2 linked regions of the Stegostoma tigrinum genome follow. The main gene of each other region encodes a partner of the protein of the gene in region 2 in a complex. Links are inferred from orthologs where the notes say so. Each region holds a gene or a part of one and is shown on either strand. Other genes may lie near its edges.

What was found.
Region 1: the proteins of mmp2 (region 2) and timp2a are in contact, whole or in part, in a crystal structure (PDB 1GXD), measured with the Homo sapiens proteins. The link is inferred for Stegostoma tigrinum from reciprocal best matches to the Homo sapiens genes MMP2 and TIMP2. Residues at the interface, in NP_004521.1 of Homo sapiens: Trp574, Lys576, Asn577, Lys579, Tyr581, Phe588, Arg590, Lys595, Asp599, Phe602, Lys604, Ile606, Ala607, Asp608, Ala609, Trp610, Asn611, Ala612, Asp615, Tyr636, Leu638, Leu645, Lys646, Ser647, Val648, Lys649, Phe650, Gly651, Ser652; in NP_003246.1 of Homo sapiens: Ile162, Pro163, Cys164, Tyr165, Ile166, Pro169, Leu173, Met175, Val178, Thr179, Phe191, Arg196, Asp198, Ser200, Cys201, Ala202, Trp203, Tyr204, Arg205, Ala208, Lys211, Gln212, Glu213, Phe214, Leu215, Asp216, Glu218.

The regions. Positions count from the first base shown.
Region 1 is NC_081375.1:16,773,695-16,785,846, reverse strand, and holds the start of timp2a (metalloproteinase inhibitor 2a), read left to right. Parts: upstream 1-6,450; 5' UTR 6,451-6,642; coding exon 6,643-6,772; intron 6,773-12,152. UniProt on the Homo sapiens protein: Complexes with metalloproteinases (such as collagenases) and irreversibly inactivates them by binding to their catalytic zinc cofactor. Known to act on MMP-1, MMP-2, MMP-3, MMP-7, MMP-8, MMP-9, MMP-10, MMP-13, MMP-14, MMP-15, MMP-16 and MMP-19.
Region 2 is NC_081369.1:21,841,826-21,854,305, reverse strand, and holds the start of mmp2 (72 kDa type IV collagenase), read left to right. Parts: upstream 1-6,675; 5' UTR 6,676-6,885; coding exon 6,886-7,038; intron 7,039-8,030; coding exon 8,031-8,257; intron 8,258-11,373; coding exon 11,374-11,522; intron 11,523-12,480.

The sequences.
Region 1 (12,152 bases), on a different chromosome or scaffold from region 2:
GGAGTTCCAGGTTTTTATAAACTTATAGAGTCATATAGCATAGAAGAAAGCCCTTTGGCCTACCATGTCTTTGCCGACCAACAGACACCGAACACCCAACTAAAATAATCCCATTTAACTGCACTTTGTCCATAGACTACAATGACCTGGCATTTTAAGTACCCATGAGGGTGCTTCTTAAATGTTGCAAGATATTCTGCCCCCACTCCCTTCTCAGGTAGTACATTCCATATTTATACTACCCCTCAGGTGGAAATTCTCTCATGTCTCTTCTAAGCCATTTGCTCCTCACTTTAAATGTTTGCCCTGTAGTCTTAGACACACTTGCCAAGGGGGAGAGATTCTCACAATCTACTCTGTGTATACCTCTCATAATTTTGAATCCCTTAATCAGGTCCACCCACCACCCCTCCACCTCACCCCTCCGACCCCCCCCCTCCCCTTTCCTACCCACTCAACCTTTACTGCTCCAAGGAAAATAAACCAGGCCCATCCAGTCTCTCTTCACAACTGAAACTTGTCATTCTACACATTATCTTGATGAATCTCCTCTGCACCTTCTCCTGTGCAACCACATCCTTCCAATAATGTAGCAACCAGAACCGCACACAGTATTCTATATGTGGCCCGATCAATGTTTTATAAAGTTGTGACAAAACCTCTTTGCCCCTATATTCTATACCCTGGTTAGTAAAGGCAAACATTCTGTATGCCTTCTTAACCACCACGTTTACCTGTGCTGACACCTTCAGGGGTGTAGGACTTGTATCCTAATGTCCCTTTATTATTCAGAACTTCCTAGGGACCTACCGTTCATCATTTATATCCTTCCCTTATTTGACCACCCAAAATAAATCACCTTGCACTTATCTCTTGCCTCAATTCTACATTGAAATTTATACCAGATATTTATCACACTTTCTTTTATCAGTCAAAGCAATGTTTAAGATTAATGTTCTTTCAACTCTTAACAAGTTCCTGTACTTAATGCCATAATGTAACTCCTTTATTCAGAAAGGGAGAGACAGAAAGGTCCACTACAGGCCACTTAGTTTAACGTCTGTTACAAGAGGGTATTTAGAAAAGTTCAAGGCGACCAGACAGAGTCAATATGGTTTTCTGAAAGAGGGATCATGTTTAATCAGTTTCTTCGAGTCTTTGAAGAGCAATTTTTGCTGTAGATAAAGGAGAACTGGTGAATGCACTGTAGTTAAGTTTCCAGAAGACATTTGATACAGGGTGCCAGATTACTGCAGAACATAAATGCTTTTGTGTAATGCATGCCATATTGCCTGTCTAACAGGAAACAGTGATTCATTATCTCATTTGCAAGATGAAATGAGTGGTGTGCCAAAGTGATCAGTATGTGGGTCTCAAACTTTTACGATTCATGAATGCTTCAGATGTAGGGACTAAAGGTATGGTTGATAACACAAAAATAGGTAGAAAAATAAGTTGTGAAAACAATATAGGTGGGAACAAAGAGTTATAGCTTGGTTAAATGAGCAGGCAAGTATTGGCAGTTGGGTACAATGTAGGAAAATGTACAACTGAAAATTTTGACAGGAAGAACAGAAAAGGCATATTACCAAAATGATGAGAGACTGCGGAGATCTGAGATGCAATGAGATCTGGATTTCCTGGTGCATGAATCATAAAAGATTGGTATGCAGTTACAGCAAATTATTAGTAAAGTTGATAAAATGCTATTACTTATTATGTGAGCAGTTGAATTCAAATGTAGAGAGGTTACCCTTTACTTGCACAAGGCACTGGTAATACCACATCTGAATTATTGCGTACAGTATCCGCCTCCTTATTTAAAGAAGGATATAAATCCATTGGAAGCAGGCCAGAGAAATTTTACTAGACTAATACCAAGAACGAGCATGTTGCCTTATGAGGAAACGTTAGAAAGACTGGGGTTCAATACACTGGAGCTTAGAAGTCAGGGATGATTTGATTGAAATAGATAGGATCCTGAGAGGCCTTCACAGATTGGCTGGGGAAAAATAGTGGCTTCATTCAGCCATGATCTTACAAAATGGTGAAGCAGGCTCAGGTTGGGGTGAGGCGGGGTGAGAGCTAAATGGCCCACCCTAAACACCATATAAACTTACTGCATTTGTCAGCCATTTCCCTTCGACACCAGACAGGCCCAAGTTTCTCCAGAATTTCCTTCAAGCCTGAGATTTAGGCAAAACCTTATGATTTTTCTTACTTTCTCAGTGAACAGCACTAGTCTCAAGTTTTGGAATTCAACATGCACTCTGATCAAAGCACTACAATTTGTGATACTTCTCTCCTTTTTTAATATACATTCACAAAATGTGGGTATCACTAGCTACACCAGCATTTATTAACTATCCCCATTGTCCTTGAAAAGGTGGTGAGCTGCCTTTTTGAACTGCTGTAGTTCTTCAGGTGTTGTATAATCGAAGTGCTTTTAGGAGGGGAGTTTCAGGATTTTGGCCCAGCAACACTGAAAAAAACAATGATATATTCCCTCTCTGATGAAAGGTCTAGGCCTGAAACGTCAGCTTTTGTGCTCCTGAGATGCTGCTTGGCCTGCTGTGTTCATCCAGCCTCACATTTTATTATTTTGGAATTCTCCAGCATCTGCAGTTCCCATTATCTCTGATATATTTCCAAGTCAGGATGTTGAGTCGCTAGGTGGGGAACTGGCACATTATGATGATCTGATTTAACTAAAGCCCTTGTCCCTCCATATAGTGGAGGGCAAGGTTTGGAGGGGGCTGTCCGAGGAGTCTTGTTGAGTTACCATGGTGAACTATGACCTTTGCCAGTGTGTCAGTGTGAAGGAAGTGAATGTTGAAAGTGGTGATTGGGGTTACAATCAAGTGAGCTATTTTGTCCTGGATGATGTTAAGTCCTTGAATGTTATTGATTCTGCACTCCTCCAGGTAAGTTGTGAGTATTCTATCACATTTTGATTTATGCCTTGTGACCGCAGGTCATGCACTGAGGATGAGTTCATGGCTATGGAATTCCAAGCCTTTGACCAGCTGTTTTAGTCAGACCATTTATATGTCTGATCAAATTTAGTTTCTGGTCAATGGCCAACTCACTATAGGAGGAGGTTCCACAAATATCCCCAATCTCAATCAAGGAAGAGCCCAACACATCCGTGCAACAGCTTTTGCAGCAGCCTTCAGCCCAAAGTGCCGCATGGGAAATCCATCGCAGCCTCCTCCAGTGGTCCCCAGCATTACAGATACTGGTCTTCAGCCAATTCGATTCACTCCAGGTGATATCAAGAAATGGTGGGAGGCACTGGATAGTGCAAAAGCTACAGGTCCTGACAACATTTCAGAAATGGTACTGAAAACTTGTACTCCAGAACTTCCCACTTCCCTAGCCGAGCCCTTACCATGCACATACAACACTGGTATCTACCCGACACTGTGGAAAATTGTCCAGGTATATCCTGTACACAAAAAGCAGCTGAAATCCAACCTGACCAATTACTGCCCCATTAGTCACTCTCAACTATCAGTAAAGTGATGGAACACAAGTGTTTTCAAACAGTACCTGCTCAGCAATAATCTTCTCAGTGATGCCCAGTTTAGGCACTGCCAGGACCACACTGCTATTTACCTCATTATAGCTTTGGTTCAAACATGGACAAAAAAAGCTGAATTCCAGAGGTGAAGTTAGTGTGAAAGCCCTTAATATCAAGGCTGCATTTGACCAAGTGTGGTGTCAATGACCCCTAGCAAAACTGGATCTAATAGGTATCAGAGGGTAAACTCTCCACTGGCACATAGGAAAATGGCCGTGGTTGTTGCAGGTCAGTCATCTCAGCTCTAGGACATCTCTGCAGGCGTTCCTCAGGGCAGTATTCTTGGCCCAACCATGTTTAGCTGTTTCATCAACGACCTCCCCTCCGTCATAAGGTCAGAAGTAGGGATGTTCACCAATGATTGCACAATGCTCAGCACCATTCATGACTGCTCAGTCCATGTTCAAATGCAATAAGATCTGGATTATATCCAATTTTGGGCTGACAAGGGGCAAGTAATATTTGCTTCACACAAATGCCAAACAATGACTATTTCTAATAAAAGACAATTTAACCACAACATTCAATGGTGTTACCATCACTGAATTGTTCATTATCAACATCCTGGGTTTACCATTGACCGGAAACTCAACTGGACTTGTCACATAAACTCAATGGCTGCAATTGCTGGTCGGAGGCTAGGAATACTGCAGTAAGTAACTCACCGCCTGACTCCCCAAAGCCTGTCCACCATCTACAAGACACAAGTTAGGAGTGTGATGGATTATTTCCCCATTTGCTTAGATGAATACAGCTCCAAAAACACTCAAGAAGCTTGACACCATCCATGACAAATTAGCCCACTTGATTGGCACCGAGTCTACAAGCATTCACTCCCTAGACCACCGATGCTCAGTAGCAGCAATGTGTTCTATCTGCAAGCCACATTGCAGAAATTCACCAAAAATCCTCAGACAGCAACTTCCAAACTCAAGACAACTTCCATCTAGGGCAGCAGTTAAATGGAAACATCACCATCTCTGAATTCTCCTCAAAGCCATTCACCATCCAGACTTGGAACTTTATCGCCATTCATTCACTGTAACTGGGTCAAAATCCTGAAATGTCCTCCCTGAAGGCATTGTGGGTCAACCTACAGCAGCTAGACCACAGCGGTTCAAAAACTGCAGTTCACCACCACCTTCTCAAAGGTGACTAGGGATGGGCAATAAAATGCTGGCGAACCAATGATGCTCATGTCTCACAAACAAATTTTAAAAATGTCATTCCTGGGATGTTCCAACCATCCCAGGCATGCTCTGCTGTTTTTTGGACCTATTCCCATGAGACCTTTGCCATTCCATTTATCATCTCAGATGAATGCCTCCATTGACCCTGCCTCCATTACACACTCAGACAACACGTTCCAGGCCATAATCACTCTCTGCATGATAACAATTTTCCTCAAGTTTCATTGAGACTTCTGCCGATTGCCTTAAAAGTGTATCCTCTGGTTCTCAACCCTTCCAGAACTGGTGATGGTTTTTCCCTGATAACAAAGTGTGGAGCTGCATGAACACAGCAAGCCAAGCAGCATCTTAGGAGCACAAAAGCTAACCACTCTGTCCCAAGTCCTTTTGATTTTGAATTTCAATCTTCTCTCTTCTTCTTCAAGGCCACAGCATCTCTAACTAAGTAACCTCATCCCTGAAACCAAACTTGTTTACCATTTTTTGCACCCTCTAATGACTTGACATTCTTCCTGAAGCCTCTGCCGACACTGGGCAATTCTCCTGCTTGAACTAAACAAGTGTTTTACACAAGTTTTAACATTAACTTCCTTGCTTTTGTACTTGATACCCCTACTTATGAAGTCCAAAATTATGCATCCTATGAAATATATACCCTGGTTCTTCTGCTCCTATATATTGGGTAAGAAATCTCATTCTGGCTGTTGCTAACAGAAAATTCCAGATTCTGTTTTGTCTGGGTTATTTCTTACGAGTATTTTTTGGCCCCAGGAGGTCTTTTGTCATCCCCGACCTTGGGGATTATCTTTCCTATCCAGCGGTTTATGTGTTAGTTTGGAGAGTTATAATCATACCAATATGTCCGTATAATTTGTAAATGCGTGTTACCCAAGGGAAATCATGGACTTGATCTGGTTGGGTTTTTTCACTCGGATCGTCCTAGACATCTCAATATTATCAGTTAATTTGTCTCCTGGGAACAGCATCACATGGTGCTTTTTAATCAACGGAGCACTCGAAGTGAAATACTGCACTGCACACAGACAGCGAAGTCATTAATGCATTTGTCTGGTCAATTCAGTATCGTGTAGGCGGGCGGCTTTGTTTGTGTATTTTTACATGAGCAAATAATTTGATCGCCAAACTATCCATATTCTCATGAACAATAACCAGTATGCAGCAAGTGGGAAACGATTTGCAAAATTGGGAACTTCAAATTTAAAGCATGGATTTTCACCGTTTTTTTTAACCAAAAAAAGTGGCACAATCAAGTTCGTAAAAGGAAGCTTCTAGAAGCTACTATTTACAGGATTCCTTTCAGCTAAAATGTGTGTCTGATTAATAGCAGTTTACACTGAGGACTGGCAATGTCGAATCAGGTCAGATCTCTCGCGTTCACTGATGTTTATTACCAGCCCATGGAATACTTTCTTTTCAGTCTCTCTAATGAACTGAGCCACAGCGACGTACTCCACAGAGATTCGTAGCTCATTAAACCGAGAGGGAGAAAAAAAATGTGTAGAATTGCCCAGAGCAATGAAAAAAAAACAAGGCGTCTTTGATAGTGGGCCATCAACACTGGCTCTCGCTGTAACTGGTCCATTGACTTAGAGAGGCGGGGACAGCAGAAAACCTTCCAGCCACTAAATAGGGTTCAGCTCAGAGAGGACAGAATAAAACACGCCCAGCAGACGCACAGGCACGACACCGCTTCACTAGATGTCATTTTGCGAATTTATATTCCTCTTCCGAGATCACGCTCAACTAAACTTGCCGCGTGTTTGCCTGAGACAGGACAAGCTTCTGTAAGACCCTTATTCCTGGCGATCCCTTGCTGGAAGAAGAGCTTTACTTCTGTGAGGTTTTAAAATGAGTGCTATATTCAGCAGTCTGGTGGCAACATTGTTTCTGCTCATGGTTTTAAGGGTGGAACAGATCGCCGAGGCTTGTAGCTGTGCCCCGAACCATCCCCAGCAAGCTTTCTGTAATGCAGATGTAGGTAAGTAAAGACATCTTTCTGCAGTCAAGTGTGTTCCCCCCCCCCCGCCTCAAAGAAACCCACAAATTTAAAAATGCGACTGCGTTGAACACACGATACGACATGGTGATTTCCTGTTAAAAGCTGCCCGAAGTAAATGGAGCCAGAAGTCAGAAAGGAAAGTTTAAGGTACAGTATCACCGATACCAGCCTCTCCTGTCCTGTCATTGCACATATTCGAACTCAGCCCAGTGCTGATCTCTCCAGATGTTGCTATTTGATTTTCTTTAGAAGTAGCTCACAACATTGCTGGTTAATTTCAGATATTACTTGGAAACTGACAGGCTTGTAAAAAAGATGGAATCTTGTGGCCCTAACCTTCTCAGTACTTGTTGCCTATTGTGTTGCTTGAGTAGTCAGTCTGAACTTACAAGTGAAGCACGAACGTGTGTTTAAATCCTCAGTACATACCTGACCATTCCTCCCAACCACTTTGTTTATCAGGCAGAAGACTGATAATAATTGACTTGTGATGAGATTGTTGTTACAAGACAAAGTACTGTACCATTTTAGAAATGGGTTGTGACCAGAACTTTGCATATTTGGATCACTTTTAATTTATTCACTTCCATCTGTATATATTTCAGTAATCAGACCATTTTTGTTGATTTAAGAATACTGTTTCACAAAATAGTCCCTCAGCTATTTTAGAGCCAACACATTACTAAATAATTAGATACAGTGCCTGAGCTGTTTGTTGGAATGACTGAGTTCATACTTCACATCTTAGGTAAACCACATCCCAACAAACATTTCAGAACTCAAATGACATCTTTCCTTTAGCTAACATTTCAAGTGTGACCATATTTTTGAAAAAAAACAGTTGATCATACTTAAAAGGTTCAGCCACACCAGTTAGCCTTTGTAGTATTTTTCAGAGTATCTCAAACATTGAGGTTGTGCAGATTTTACCATTGTCTGTAAATGGGCTTGAGCCTATCGAGCACATTCTCTGGAGCCTGTTATTTCTGAACGAGATTAACTTGCACAGTTTTTTTTAATATTACTTGGCTGATTTAATAGCTTACAATCAAAACTGATTTGACTATGTATATGATTATGTATCCATTCTTGGAACCCTTGCTCTTGGCTTATAATGTGATTCCCCAGTGCATATTTGCACAATTAGTAGGACATATCATTGCAGAACTATTTGCATGCATATTTTTCATGTTCACATTTGTGTCTGTTACCTATTTGGGAAAAGACATCTTGTGGTATTGTACAGCATACGTGGAAAACGAAGAATTACAGGACTACAAACTTTTGAAAATCAAGTCTGTATTCACTTTTAAGGCCATCTTGCAGTTTATTTGCACATACTTTTATGAATATATCTGAAAAATGTATTATATTATTTAATGAGGCTTAAAATCAATTACTTATCATCTTTCAGTAAGAGATGTGTTTGCCTAAGAAACAGAAACATTGACAGTGGAAAGGCTCAAGTTGGCAAGTAGCCATTATACCATGAGTAGCGGCACTACACAGTTTCGTATCGAAATGTGTATTATTGATTCCAAACTTTTCTATGTTAGGGAAATAACACCTTGCAATGCACCAACATTTGCAAGGTTCCTACATCCTACCCACTGATAGATGCTGCCAAATGCAAAATTGCTATCATCATTGAAAATTCAAGTCATAGAAATGTTTATTAGTATGCAACAACACAAGTACTGTGCTATTAAATCAACAAGCACAGCAATCTAGTAACAGGCAAAAATCCTTGAAGACTTGCTCGGGTCTGGCACCCAAATGTGTTATTTTTCTCTCCTACACATTCCTCTTAAGACATACATTATTCCAGAGCCAAGCGTGTGGGCAGAAATGCTGCCCTCGAGCCTATGCCAATGCTATGATTCTGTCAGATCGCTTCAAGGTTCACAGCAGCAGCCTTGGGTGATTTGCTGATTTGGTTTCTTTTCCCCCACTAGTCCCTGTGAAAGATCATCATCTGCCCTGCATTCCACTTCATGCCTTTACCTGGCAGGAGACTTGAATGTTGGGAACGCATTGTGTGGAGATTGCAATTGCATCATAATGCTATTCCACGGCAAGCAATTCTAATACAGTTTACATTGCCAGGAAGCTGTATTGATTATTTAATATATCAGCAGCTCACTCACTGAAAAAGATTGAAGTTGTTGTTTTCGCTCCATTTTCTTTATCAAAGTCACCTGCAGAAAATTTAGTCTCAATGCCGTAAATATTTGTTGAACTGTACAGTCAGCTTTGGGTCCAAATGACGACCAGAAGTTGATCCTGTACCACTTCAAACAATTATAATCTAAAGCCTGCTTTCTTTAGCTGAACTGCAATTGGTGGTTGAAAACAGGTAATTAAGAAATTCATTTGAGAGTACAGACCAACTTAAGATGTTTTATGACTGGAGGCAGTAGTTTCTATGGTGGCTGCTTTCCACTGCAGCTTGTGCATTACATAGCACAAAATCAGCCTCCAGATTTCCTCCATAAATGGATTGCAATTTCATAACAGGGCTGTTATTTTGGATTATATTGCAAAAAGGATTGGGTGGACTGGAAGGTTTCAGCAGTAAAGTGCAATTATGAGTTTTGCTGCATAACCAAATAGTTTGCAAATGCTAGACTGCTTATGGTTTTAATTAGTGTCTGTATGGGCATTACTGTAATGTGCATGTCTGATTATAAACAACTTTGTTCATTCCTGAACTATTGTATGTAAATCTACAGTCTCTTTGAAGCAAGAGGTACCAATGCTTTCCCCAAGACTTGTGTACATAGAAGTTTGCATACAATAATAATTTGCAATTATCTATTTGAACATTTAATATCAACCTGGCAGTAATCCCTGCATGCACAGGATGTTTTGTAAATCTAATTTTCTCTCAATAGAGTCTCTTGCCATTTTTTTTCCTCAAGTGACAAACATGCACTATTTATCAGCATCCCAAAAGGGGACAGTTTAATGTTTTTAAAATTGCACTGGAGACTTCCAGTTGAATATTAAATTATGTCCCGTTTCCACCCCTTGCCTCCACCCCAACACTGGACAAGCTCCATCAGCAAATGTTAATCACACTATCAAAGCTTACCTACAGCAAAATAAAACACAATCCCACTGATCACTTCCTCCACTTACTGATGGGGGTAGGCGAAATAACCAACATCCTGTTTATCGAACTGAGAAACTGAATAGAGGTGGTTTTAAGGAAATTACATGACGTTTGTTGAATGTATGAGTAGGGCCATGTAACATGTTTGTTTTTGTGGTGGACTGTGCAATCACATTTTTATATATAACTTACTACAAATCGGTTCAGTGTCTGCCAGATATTGACTACAAATGATATGTTGTCAGCTGATAATTACAAATCCTTTATGCAAATCTTTTGTAACAAATGATTTTTGTTTTCAGTGTATCTTCTCCCAGAAGGCAGTACTAGCAACGCAAGTAACAGAAGAGGTTAATAGGAGCTGTGAATAAATAATATTTAATATGGATAAATTTGTAATAAATGTCCTAAAACTAACACGCAGGCTGTAACACCATAACATTTGATAGTATTCGGAGACTGTGATTAAACATTGTACTGAAGGTGAGGGTGCATTATACGTCTGGTTTGCCACTATTATATTTGGTGGCAATCAAGCCACCAACTCTTCCAACAGAATTTTATTTGGCTTTTCTTTTAAGTTTGTTAATAATAGTTCTATGTCATTTACTAGTTAAGAACAAGCATGTGAACATACCATTTAGGGGCAGGAGTAGGCCATTCAGCCTACAGAGACTGCTCCATGACATCTTACTGAAACCTCAAATCTACATTCCTGCTGACTTTAATAACCTTTCACCCTTTTGCTTAACAAGAATCAGTCTACCTCTGCTTTAAAAATATTCAGTGGCTCACTTTTTGTGTTTTATGGGTGACCCTGATTTTTAAACAGTGACCATGGCTTCTGGATTCCCTGTCAGAGGGAACATCCACTCCACAGCTGCCCTGTCAAGACCCCTCAGGATCTTGTACATTTCAATCGAATTATCTCTAACAGTTTTAAATTCCACCAGATACAAGCATAGCCTGCTGAACATTTCCTCAAGACAAGCCTCTCATTCTAGGCATTAATTTGAAAAACCTCCTATAAACTGCCTCCAATGCATTTAGATCTTTGATGAAACAAGGTGACAACATAATTCAGATCCAATCTCACCGTTATAACTGAAGCATAATCTTTACTCAAGGTCACTTCCCCTTGTGACAATTGATAATGGCCAATTATTTTTCCAAATTACTTGCTGTACCTGTGTACTAACCTTTTATCATTCATGAATAAAGACACTGAGGTCCCTTTGCATCTCGAGTGCTGCAATCTCTCATCATTTGGCTAACATGCAATTTATTGTTCTTGCCAAAATGCACATTTTCCCACTTTGTAACATCATGTTCATTTGCCAGATCTTTGGCAGCCCTCTTAACCTATCTATAATTTCTCTGTGGGCTCTTTATTTCCTCTTCAAACCTTATTTTCCGACTCACCAATTTTGGCAGCTTTCAATTAAATGAGATTGTTGCTAGATAAGGGCAGCCTTGGAAGATTAAAGCCAATACATTGGTTGAACTCCTCATAGAGACTACCTTTGCCACATCAGATTATTTTTTTTTCAATCGGTATGTAGATTAAATTCTCGTATGATTATTGCTATACCTTTCTGGTGAGTGCTTATTATTTCTTCCTTTATGTTCTACCATATCATGTGGTTACAGTTAGAATGGCCTCTACACTACTTCCACAAGTAACCTTTTCCTTTTTGTCGTCATCTCTCACCTCTATTTCAACATCTTGATTCCCTGAACTTGGGCCCCCTCCTTGATTGATCTAATACCATTATTAACCAACACAGTCACCCTTCTACCATCTCCTGTTTCCCTGTCATTCCATTTTATTCAATGATGCATTTAGTTTTCTAGGGAGCAATGGCCTAGTGGTATTATCACTGGACCATAAATTCGGAGACCCCAGTAAAGGTCTAGTGATCAAATCCTGCCATGGCAGATGTTGGAATTTGGATTCAATTAAAACGCTGGAATTATGAATCTAAATGATGACCAGGAAACCAGTATTGATTGTCAGGAAAAATCCCTTTCCTTCATTAGAGTCCTTTTTAGAGAAGGAAATCTGCCATCCTTGCCTGATCTGGCCTGCAAGTGACTCCAAACCCGCAATAATGTGTTTGATACTCTTCTTGCCATTCCTATTTGCCCAGAGGGTAATGCTGGCCTGGTGAGCGATACCCCACATCCTGTAAAAATAATTACCCTTAGCAAAAGTTATTGCTCTGCATTGAATCTTAGGAATAG
Region 2 (12,480 bases):
TCCACTGTGAAATAATTTTAGCCCATAAGTTAATGGAAAAGAGGGGCATCTAGTTCATTGAAGGATGAGGGGGACAATTCATGTTTCATTTCCCACTGAGGCTTTAAAATGTTATATTTAATCACCATTTCCAAACATATTATGATTAAGTCTACAACAGGTGAAGCTTGAACGCAGAACTTCTCCTGAGATAGGAACATTACCACCACACCATTAGACACCACATCAAGGGCAACCTCATGATCAAGAAATAAACAGGATTAAGTATTGTCATGTCAGATATAGAAAGAGCCATAAAGAGAGGGAAAAAGAGACTGATTAAGAGATTTTTTAAAAAGCATAACAAAGAAAATTAAACCTACAATGTCAATAATCTCTAACAACAATTCTGTACTGACAGGACTAACTCCTCAGTTTAGGTTGTTCACTTTCTTAGCTAAGTCTCAATGTTTAAAAAAAAATGTTTTGACTGTTAGGTCCCACTCCTAAATTTCTAGACTTCATTTGGTAATCAATATGCAAACACAGCAGTTTTGTGAAACCCGCAAGGAGATTCAAATCAAGCTGTGGTTCCTCTCTCGGGAGTGGGCATTTCAATTCATAGCATTGTCTTCCTTATCTACAGGTCTTGCACACTTTATACATTAAGCATGGTGTATGTGTATTAATTTCACCATTATTTAGGCAACAAAATTTGAGCCCATTATTTGCTTAAAAATAGCAATGTCTGTAAAACACATAAAGGCCTATTTATTCTGATGGTCAGATAGTGACTGGAACAGTACAGACAGGAGTTGTAAATACATGCAAACTCATGTCTGGGCCCTGAGGGATCCAGCATGCAAAAGATTCTGTGAGAATTGTTCAGGAAATTGACAATTCAAATGGACAATTCCCCTATGTTCAAAACCTCAAAAAGAAACTATTAAAGACAGAGAATTTGGAGGATTCCTCTTCAGTTAAGAATCATAGAATTTCTACAGTGTGGAAACAGTCCACTTTTCCACTTTTAATCCTGCCTAAACCTTCAATTCCTCCTTACTCCGTATGTCAATCTGCTCAAGAACCTCATAGTTTGTTTTAAATTCATCTGAAAGATGTCGGCATCGCCAGCTGGCCAGCATTGCTAGCCCATCCCTAGTTGCCCTTGAGAAGGTGGTGGCGAGCTGCCATCTTGAACCATTGCAGTCCACCTGCTGTAGGTTGACTCACAATACCATTAGGGAGGGAATTCCCGGATTTTGATTCAGCGACCGTGAAGATATATTTCCAAGTCAATGCGGTCAATGGCCTGGAGGAGAACTTGAAGATGATGTTGTTGCCATGTATCTGGTGTCCTTGTCTTTCTAGATGGAAGTGTTCGTGGGTATGGAAGGTGCTGTCTGAGGGTCTTTGGTGAATTTGTGCAGTGCATTTACAGATAGTACACACTGCTGCTACTAAGTGTCACTGGTGGAGGGAGTGGATACTTGTGGATGCCGTGCCAATCAAATGGGCTGCTTTGTCCTGGATGTCAAGCTTCTTAAGTGTTGTTGGAGCTGCATTCATTCAGGCAAGTGAGGAGTATTCCATCACACTCCTGACTTGTGCCTTGTAGATGATAGACAGGCTTTGATGATTCATGAGGTAAGTTACTCACCACAGTATTCCTAGCATCTGACCTGCTCTTGTAGACACTGTGTTTTTGCAGTGAGTCCAGATGAATTTCTGGTCAATGATGATCCCTCGGGTGTTGATAGTGGGGGATTCAGGGATGGTAACACCACTGAATGTCAAGGGTCAGTGGTTAGATTGTCTCTTATTGGTGATTAAATTGAATTGAATTAAATCATTTATTGTCACATGTATTCAATACAAAATACAGTGAAAAGTTTATTCCAAGGCCATGCATTGGCACCATTCTCAAAATAAAATCAAAATAAAGAAAGGTAACTTAAAGAGAATCCAACTTTTCCTTCTCCGTTGCTACAGTCCCACACCGGGCTCCACCAGCCCATGCCATGATGCTGCCAGAGTCCCACTTTAGGCTTCACCAGCCCATTCCATGCCACCACTAAAGTCCCACTCCAGGCTTCACAGGCCAGCCAACTCTATAGCCATGCTGCCACCTTCCTGCTGAAGGGCTCTCTTTATCAGATAAATTTAAGCAAAAGCTACAAAGAAGCTGAGAAAAGTAGACGAAAAAGGAATGGAAAAACAGGAGTGCCTGGGGACAGGAGGGCAGACGTTGCCTACTCCGCAAAAGTAGCAATTAATAAGATTGTGAACGTTGATAGAGATTGATAAGAATGTGAATGGCAATGGATGCAGTGGAAAGTATGAGGTTTCTTCCCAGGAATCTAGGGGATACTGGTTCAAGGTGTGGGGGGGATGTTTAAGAGGGATGTGCGAGGCACATTTTTCACACAAAGGGTGGTGAGTGCCTAGACCGTGCTGCCAGAGGAGGTGGTGGAAGCAGACACAAGAGCAACATTCAAGGAGCACCTGGATAAATACATGACTAGGAGGGGAATAGAGGGATACTGATCCTGTAAGTGAAGACAGTTTTAGTATGGAAAGGCAAAATGTGTCAGCACAGGCTTGGAGGGCTGAAGGGCCTGTTCCTGTGCTGTTGCATTCTTTTGTTCTTAGTTCCACCACCATTATCCTGGTTATGATCATCTTGTTGCTCATAGCCTGGCGTTTGTGTAGCACGAATGTCATTTGTTACTTGTCAGCCCAAGTCTGGACATTGTCCAGATTTTGTTGCCTTTGAACACAGACTAGCTCAGTAACTGAGGAGGCACAATGGTGCTGAACATTGTGCGATCATTGGTGAACATCCTCACTTCTTACCTTATCATGGAGTGAAGATCATTGGTGAAGCAGCTGAAGATGGCTGGGCCAGGATATTACTGTGACGGACTCCCGCAGAGATGTCCTAGAGCTGGGATAACTGACCTCCAACAACCATGATCAACTTCCTTTTTTCCAAGTACAACTCCAACCACTGGAGAGTTTTCCCCAGATACCCACTGATTCCAGTTTTGCTTGGGGTCCTTGATGCCACACTCAGCCCAATGTAGCCTAGATGTCAAGGGCTGTTATTCTCACCTCATCTCTGGAATCAGCTCTTTTGTCTACGTTTGAACCAAAGCTGTAATGAGGTCAGGACCTGAGTGGCCCTGGTGGAACCCGAACTGGGCATCACTGAGCAGGTTATTGCTGAGCAGATGCTGCTTGATAGTACTGTTGTTGACACTTTCCATCAGTATATTGATGATCAACAGTAGGCTGATGGGATGGTAATTGGCCAGGTTGGATTTGTTTTGCTTTTTATGTACAGGATGTACATGAGAAAATTTCCACATTGTCAGGTGAATGCCAATATTACAGCTGTACTGGATAACAAAGAGTGGAGCTGGATGAACACAGCAGGTCAAGCAGCATCTCAGGAGCACAAAAGCTGACATTTCCGGCCTAGACCCTTCATCAGAGAGCAGTTGTACTGGAACAGCTTGGCTAGGGGAGCAGCAAATTTGGGAACGCAAGCCTTCAGTACTATTGCTGGATGTTGTCAGGGCCTGTAGCCTCTACAGTATCAATTGTCTCCAATCGTTTCGTGATATCACATTGGAATGAATCGAATTGGCTGAAGATTGGTAGGTGTAGTGCTGGGGACTACTGGAAGAGGATGACTTGGATTATCCAGTCAACACTTCTGGCTGAAGATTGCCGCAAATGTTTCAGCCTTATCTTTTGCATAGATGTGCTGGGTTTTTCCAGCATTGAGGATGGGGATATTTGCGGAGCTTCCTCCTCCAGTGAGTTGTTCAATTGTCTACCACCATTCACGACTGGATGTGGCAGGACTGCAGAGCTTAGATCTGATCTACTGGTTGTAGAATTGCTCAGTTCTGTCTGTCACCTGCTGCTTATGCCATTTGACATGCACGTACAACATAGAGTGGAGGTGGAGGAACACAACAGGCCAGGCAGTATCAGAGGAACAGGAATGTTGACATTTCAGGTCGGGAACTTTCTTCATAAATATCTGAACCTGAACCGTCAACTTTCTTATTCCTCTGACGCTGCTATGTTCCTCCAGATCCACACAGTGTTGTCTCTGACTCCAGCATCTGCAGTTCTTGCTATCTCCTAAACATGCAAATAGTCCTGTTTGGTGACTTCACAAGGTTGGCAAATCATCTTCAGGTATGCCTGGTGCTGGTCTTGGCATGCCCTCCTGCACTCTCTACTGAACTACGGTTGATTCCCTGACTTGATGGTAATGGTTGAATGGAGGGGAGTATGTGAGCCATGAGGTTGCAGATTGTGCTGAAGTACAATTCTGCTGCTGTTGTGGCCCCCGGCACCTCACAGTGCCTCTTCCTGAATTCTGTATCTACATTCTCCTTCCCCTGAGTGAAAACAGATGTGAAGTAGTCTTTTAATACTCTACCAGTGTCTGCCAAATCCCATGCCCTTATTGTCCCTTTGGTCCCTAATGGGTCCTACTCTTCCCCTGATTATCATATTCCACTTGATATGCTGTACAATATCTTGGGATTCTCCTTCATCTTCTCCACCTGTACTTTGTTCTTTGCTCTCATAATTATTTAATTTCCCCTAATCATTTTCTATACTGTACTAAGGCCTCCATTTGTATCTGTCAAAAACCTCTCTTTTCCTTCTTATCGAAGGGTTTCATGGGCTTATTACACCTACATTTCATCATAACGGGAATATGTTGTGCTTGCACTCTCCCCAGTTCCTTTTTGAGCATCCCCCTACCCCACCTCCCATCCTGTGGATTTACCAAGAAGGGGTTGTTCACAGTCTACTGTGGCCAGGTTCTGCCTTAATTTAATAAAATCTGTCTTCCCCAATCCATATCTCTGTTTGCAGGCCAACATGTTCCTTTCCCATAACAAACTCATGATATTATACATTGTGGTTCACTAACACTAAAATGCTCCCCTATTGACACATTAAACATCTTCATTCCCCAGAATGACGTCCAGTACTGCATCATCCCTGTTGGACCTTCTAGATATTAAAAGCTCTCCTGAATACGTTGAATATAATTGAAGAGCAGAATACACCGAACACACTGACCCCTATAAACCCTTTACACGATGACTATCCCAATTAATACTTGAATATTTGTCTGGCCAACATGTAACTCCAGGCAACATGGTTGACTCTTAACTGTCCTCTGGGCAAATATGGATGGGCAATAAATGCTACCCAGCCAGCAATGCCCTCATCCCATGAATGAATAAAGAAAAAAAATTCCAGTATTGTATGAGATAACACAATGTGGAGCTGTTGGAACACAGCAGTTAAGGCAACATCAGAGGAGCAGGAAAGCCGACGTTTCAGGTTGGGATCCTTCTTCAGAAGCTTTTCTGAAACATTTCTGAAGAAGGGTGCTGACCCAAAACATCATCTTTGCTGCTCCTCTGATGCTGCTTGGCCCGCTGCGTTCCACCTGCACCATACTGTGTTATCCAGGATTGTATGGTTGTCGTTACTTGAACATGTAAAGATTAAGCAATGAGTTGGAACAGAGTGGGGTTGTACGTGCGACTCTCTTTAAAGATTCCTGTCAATGTACAAAGAACCAACCTAAATAGTTGGACGACAGTCCACATTAATGCCAAGTCTCAGCACTTTACACCTGCCTCAGCCCTTGTGCTGCCAATAGGTGTTGTCACTTCTAGGTAAACTGTGCAAAATGCTCGAAGTTTAACCCACAAACGGCCTTGAATGCACGGCAAATGCAGTATACTTTCCAGGAACAGCAATTGAAAATGATGCGTGAAGATTGCAGCCCCGTTCCTGTGTTGTAGCGAGCGGCCTCCTCCAGACCCTCCCACGGGCTGTGTTGGAGTTATTCGGCCAGCGAGCGATCCATTGCAGTTAACATCTGGCTGCATAAGCATGGAAAAAGATGTCTTGTCTGGCACACAAAAACACACAAAGACTATCTGGCGCCTCCAGGCTTGTGATTGTTCCAGTCATGCAACAAGTTTACAACACGCCCTTCAAATTAAAAATTGGCATTTTTTTCATCACTGCACTCTAGATTCTTAAAAAGGGTGGGTTTAAAAGTGCGAATCGTTTTAACAGGATTTTAATATACCCTTCATGTTTATATTGAGTATCAACACAATTAAGGGGCCAATATTACCCGTGCCTAGAATTACTTATTAATCATTATCTGTGGACTGAATGGTCAGTACATGCAGCTTTATTTCTGCAATTCTTCGCTTGAAAGATACATTTATACAGCGCCTTTCTCCATAACTGGATCTCCAAAAGTACATATGGAATGCGATTACTGTAAGGAAGAGATATTGCCTCAAGAGAAGAAAAATATCAATGGCGTACTTTGGGGTCAAAAGCCTGTGTCCTTTTGCAACCGATACAATTCTAACGTCTGAATTGTGAAATGAACTCAAAACCTGAGCGGTTTGTTTCACGTGTACTGTTTTTTTTTCGAAATATGATGGGAACATTGTTGCTTTCTGACAATTTTGGTGCATTTACCCAACGATCATGCCTTTAAAACAAAACTCGTTCATTTTCGGAACAGTCTTGTTTCCAAATATAAACTTGGGGCAGCCCCAGTCGCCAGAGAATGCATTTCCTTCGGTGGATTTTTTTTCAACTTCCGCCAGTCCTTCTGCTCTAGCAGATCGGTCGCGTCTGCGCATCTGGAAGTACAAAGGATTTCAGTCGGCAGGGACTCAGCTAAGAGCGGCACATAGTTGCCTGAGACTAGCTGTGCTGGCAAAGCAGAGAAACACTGCATAATGTTTGTGCAGTGAAGGATATCGCAGAGACACCACAGCAACGGCATTTCTTTTTGATAAATAGGTGCTCTCCCACTGGAAGAAAATGACCATGGAAACAAGCGGCAACTTTTATCGCTTAGTCTTAAAAGTAACCTTGCTCCAGATCATCTGGGTCCAGCAGACTTTAGCGGCACCGACTGGCATAATCAAGTTTCCAGGTGATAACAGCACGAAGACAGACAAGGAAATAGCCACTGTAAGTGTGGGGAGACGTTAACTTTCTAATGCCCGGCTGCCTTGCAAATGGCGTTTTATGTTAAGTGGTCGTTTTCTTTAGCTTTCACAACAGCTGTTGAAACGAAGGAAGCGATTACTTTTTCCCCCCTCAGTGGCTCCAGGGCATCAAAGTTTCTTAAAAGTCTAGAAGAGAGAACGCCACGGGGCTTGATAACATCTGTTCGTTTTGGCAAGGCAGGGGACCTTGCATGTAGACAAAACAAAACAATTATAGATAAGTGGAACCTCACATTGTTTATCTAAGAGCTATCCAATAGCTTAGTGATAGGATTAATCTTATATTTCAATGAACACAAGGGCAGGACTAAGTTTAAAAAAAATTTGGGAAATTAGTCACAAAACAAGTAGAACAAATGTAATCTTTCCATATGCCTACTGTGTCCGTATATATGTTACAAAACATTTAATACGTGTCAAATTAACAATGTACTTTGGATGCTAACTTATTGCCATAATTTAATAAGCATCCATACAAGATCCCGAAAGTTTGTGGGTATTCTAACGGTGTCTGTGCTGAAAAAATAATGGCATAAATCCAACTGCCTCTAGGATTACAGAAACACGTGACAGATTTCTGCAGGCTATTAGCCAATGAAAGTTGGCTTTTGGAGTATCAAGTTATGAATATACTTGAAAACGTTAACGTCAAGCGCACTACAAGTTTCAAGAAGTTAACACAAGAAAATCAGGATGTCTGTTTGACTTATCAAGTCCTTATAACACAATATTAGTGCAAAATGAAATCTGCAATGTAAATAAGAATTATAATGCATTTAAAGTGGTCAGCCCTCAACTTTTGAATCCATTCAGAATTTCTCAAATACACCAGCAAAGTTTGCCACAAGTTCAACCAACACAGAATCAGAGCATTTTCAACTAACTTGTTAATGTCTGTCTCAAAATCTTTAATATTTTACCTATACAAACATATTTCTTTATATTTTATATTAGTTATATTTGAATAAATTCTATGGCTGCCCGAAAGAAAGGTGTGATCTTGTGGTACTGTCAGACACACTGAAGAAGATGCAGAAATTTTTTGGATTACCACAAACTGGAGAACTGGACAGTGAGACAGTAAGTGTGATGAAGAAACCGCGGTGTGGAGTTCCTGACGTGGCCAATTACAACTTCTTCCCACAGATGCCCAAATGGGAGAATAAGCAAATAACTTATAGGTAGGTGTGTATAAACATGTGGAGTTTTCTTCGGTGTGTCTTTTAATCACTTATGTAACTGGTAAGACGGTTTCATTGGGATTGTTTCAATATTTAAAGTTTTCAAGAAGATTTGTAGCTCAGATGAGGTTGTAGACATGCTTGCTGAGCCGGTAGGTTTGGTTGCAAACATTTAGTTACCTTGCTAGGTAACAACTTCAGTGTGCCACCAGTGAATGCAAAAACACCAGGCAACTCCAGACTAGCCACTGTATAGAAAGACCACACATACAGACCGAATACTCAATTACACTAGTGATCACCTCAGTGCCCATAAACAGAGCTGCATCAGGACACTATTTAAATGAGCCACAACACATTGCAACAACCCAGAACAATGCAAAGTGAAACAGAAGCACATATATGGAGCCTTCAAAAGGAATGTACTCTCGAAAAGCATAATCCACTGTTACCTCCGAGACAGATCACAATGGGAAGACACAACATGACCAGAATCACTAATCACCCTACCATTATTCAAAGATGACAACAAGACTACTCAGACCCTTGGGTATCAGGGCAGCCCACAAACCAGCAACCATCCTGCGACAGCTGCTGACAAATCTAAATGATTCTATACCCAAAACCAGTGTAATATATAAAATACCATGCAAGGATTGTGAGAAACACCACCTGATCAAACTGGAAGAAAACTGACAATAAGGATACATGAACATCAGCTAGCCGCCAAGAGACACCACCAGTTCTCACTTGTCTCGCTACTCACAGACAACAAGGGACGCAATTTTGACTGAGACAACACATCCATAATAACACGAACCAAGCAGGGACACACCAAGGAATTCCTGGAGGCCTGGCATTCTAACGAACACATTGAATTAGACCCAGTGTACAAACCAGAGAAACAGAACCAGAAGTGGTACGAAACACCCCAGCAAACTGAGGCAAATAAATAACCAGAGGCACACTGATGATGTTACCAAGCAGGGTGATGAAACATTTGCAACCAAATCCACTGGCTTGGCGAGCATGTCTAAAACTTCATTGTTTCAATATGCTGTAGGGAAACGAAAATAGTTTTTGATTGATTGTTGTATTACTCTGTTATTTCAAAATTGTTTCCTTGAAGGAAAGATATTAATTGTTTAATCGGTTGTTTCATTAAATGCATCATGAAAATTGTAATAGAAAGCAATAATAATATATTTAAAGGAGGACTTGGTGAAACGTAATGTGAATTTAGTCCTAAAATAAGAACGAGAACAATTTTCAGTAGATATCTTGAGTAACAAAGACTATTTACAGCTGTTTTTTAGACTATGAAAAATGTTCATTCGAAATTTTGCTGAAATATAAGATTTATCCAGAGCCTCCGTTAGGACCAAATAGAATCATAGAATCCCCACAGTGTGGAATCGGGCCATTCAGCCCATTTAGGTCACTGACCCTCCAAAGAGCAACCCATTCAGACACACTCTATCCCTATAACCCTACATTTCCCATGGCTAATCCACCTCATCTGCTCATCCCTGGATACTATGGACAATTTAACCTTGGCAATCCACCTAACCTGCACATCTTTTGGACTATGGGACGAAACTGGAGCACCCAGAGGAAACCCATGAGACACGGTGAGAATGTGCAAGCTCCACACAATTGGTCATCCAGGGGTGAAATTGAACCTGGATTCTTGCTGCTGTGAAGCAGCAGCGCTAACCACTGAGCCACCATGAGCATTCAAGCTAGAAGAGTGGTGATCAGACACATTTCAAGCGAAAAGAGGAGTATGATAAGTTTGTGTACTATCACCAAAATTAGTCGCTGTACACAGTGAACAAATATACTTCTCTGAAAGGGTCATGAATCTGCTGAATTCACTACCCTGGAGTAGAGTGATTGCCAGTGCACTGAATAAATTCAAAGATTAGATAGATAGACTTTTAATTAGTAAAGGGTCATAGGGAGCGGGCAGAAAAATGAGGCCGAGATAAGATCAGCTGTGATCATGTTAAATGGCAGAACAGGCTGCAGGGCATGAATTGCCTACTTCTGCTCCTAGTTGTTAAATAATTAGCGGATTAGATTAACTTCTATGGATGATGAATTGGGCAAGAATATAACAGACTGTGGTATGCTGATGACACACCACTTCTTGCAGAATCAGAAGAGACCCTACAAAATGTTATAGATGCAGTAAAATTTTGAGGCTTAGCCAGTGGATTGTGTACGAACACCCAGAGGGCAAATAAAATGTTACTCCGATGGAATACAAATGTACTAGAGTGAAGAATGAAGTTGATGGTGTCACACTGGAATAAATAGATACTTATCTGTACTTATCAAATGATAACTGCATTTGGCAGATGCAGTGCCCTAGTTAGGGTAACAACAGAGGTAGACAGAGGTAATTTTGTAAAATGAAGGTTTTATTCTCAACATGAAAACTTTTGTTTGTAACAAGAAATGAACTCTCAAAACTCTCCTATATGCCTAAGGAAGCTGGACAGCACATCATGATCTGTGGAAGAAAATAGAGTCCTTTTGAAATGTGAATGCTGAGAACATAAGCTAAAAATTGGATAGACAGATCATAAGACAAATGAAAAGGTACTTGAAGTTTCAAGAGCTGTGACACTCTTAAAGAGTGACATTCAGAAAATAAAATGTCACTCTTTCAGCCATTTGGTCAAGGTGAAAAGCTGCAGGAATTGCCTTAGAGGGCAAAATGGAGGGCAGCCGTTGGAGAGGTCACCCTGGGGTATTTCAGTGATTGGGTGTCACAGAGCAGTTACAGAGAAGGAACAGTAGATTTGTGAGGATGGTGCAAGACAGACAAACATGACGGACCACAACATGAGCTCTCCTGGCAGGAGTAGCCAAGAACAGAAACAGCAAGGTACAAATCAATGAACTTATGAAAAGTATTTCCTGTTACCACTTAAGGAAAGAAAAGACTTGCAGTCAACAATGTGCCAAAAAGGATTTGTTTTTGCTTAAAATAAATCATTGTATCACTGTAAATTCTAATGGGAGTTATGAGAAGGATTTCTGTCATTGCTGCCTTACATTACTGATTAGGCATATCAAGCTGAGCTTCTGCTGCTTATTCCTTACAGGATTTTGGGATACACTTACGATCTGGACTCTGAGACAGTGGATGATGCTTTTGCTCGGGCCTTCCAGGTATGGGCTGACGTCACACCACTGTCATTTTCAAGGATCTTCGATGGAGAGGCAGACATCATGATCAACTTTGGCCGTTGGGGTAATAATTAAATTTCTTGAAACCTAACACAGATGTTGGATTATAAATATTCAACATGGCTTTTGTCAGTGATGTCTAAATGGGACTTTTATGTGGTGCTTCCATATAAGAACACTTAATCCAAGTATTTGTCAAACACTTTGTGTTAAGCAGATGTTTTGGACCCAGACTTCTAAGAGCATAAACCTTGTATGACCAGTGGAATTGTGACTGCCAACATCCACCAGCATTGCAATTTTCTGTATCAGGAGGAGAGGATCTACACTGTATGGTGCAAACACTATTCTGGGTACATCTGCACCACCAGCTTGTCACATCTATTTGAAAGTTTTAGTTTCCACTTGCCATTGGCAAATGCTGTCCAGATCCTACTTCAGTCAAGTTCAAAAATAAAATTCTGGAGTTGCTGTAAATCTGAAATAAAAACGGGAAATGCTGAAATATGCAGCAGGTCAGACAGCATTTATGGAGAGGGAAAGAGAGTTAATTTTCAGGTCAGTGCCCTTTGATTGGAAGGTCACCGACATGACACATTCATTCTTTTGTCAAGACAAATGTTCCTTGGTCCCCACATTAAGGATGTGGATAAGGACATTAATCATTTTTTTAGATGTATTCTGTGTGGACGGCTGTGTGTGTGTTTTTGGAGAGAAAGGTGGTAGTGTGCACAGGGAAGGTAACAATGCTGCTAGCCTGGATTCCACAGGTGGAAGTCAATATGCCTGACCTTCCTATGGGCTTTCACTGATACACTAAGTAGTACTATATCTTCAGGAGTAAACAATTCTTCAGAATAATTTCCTTCATACGGGGCAGGTAAAGGTATTGGCCAATATAAGGTAATAAGAAAATGCCCATCCCAGTCTATGCTACTTATTTAGAGATCTCTCAGTTGCGATGTTGAATTATAGTGGTAGACTTGGGGAGGCAAAGTGCTTAAACAATGCTAAACACTTCT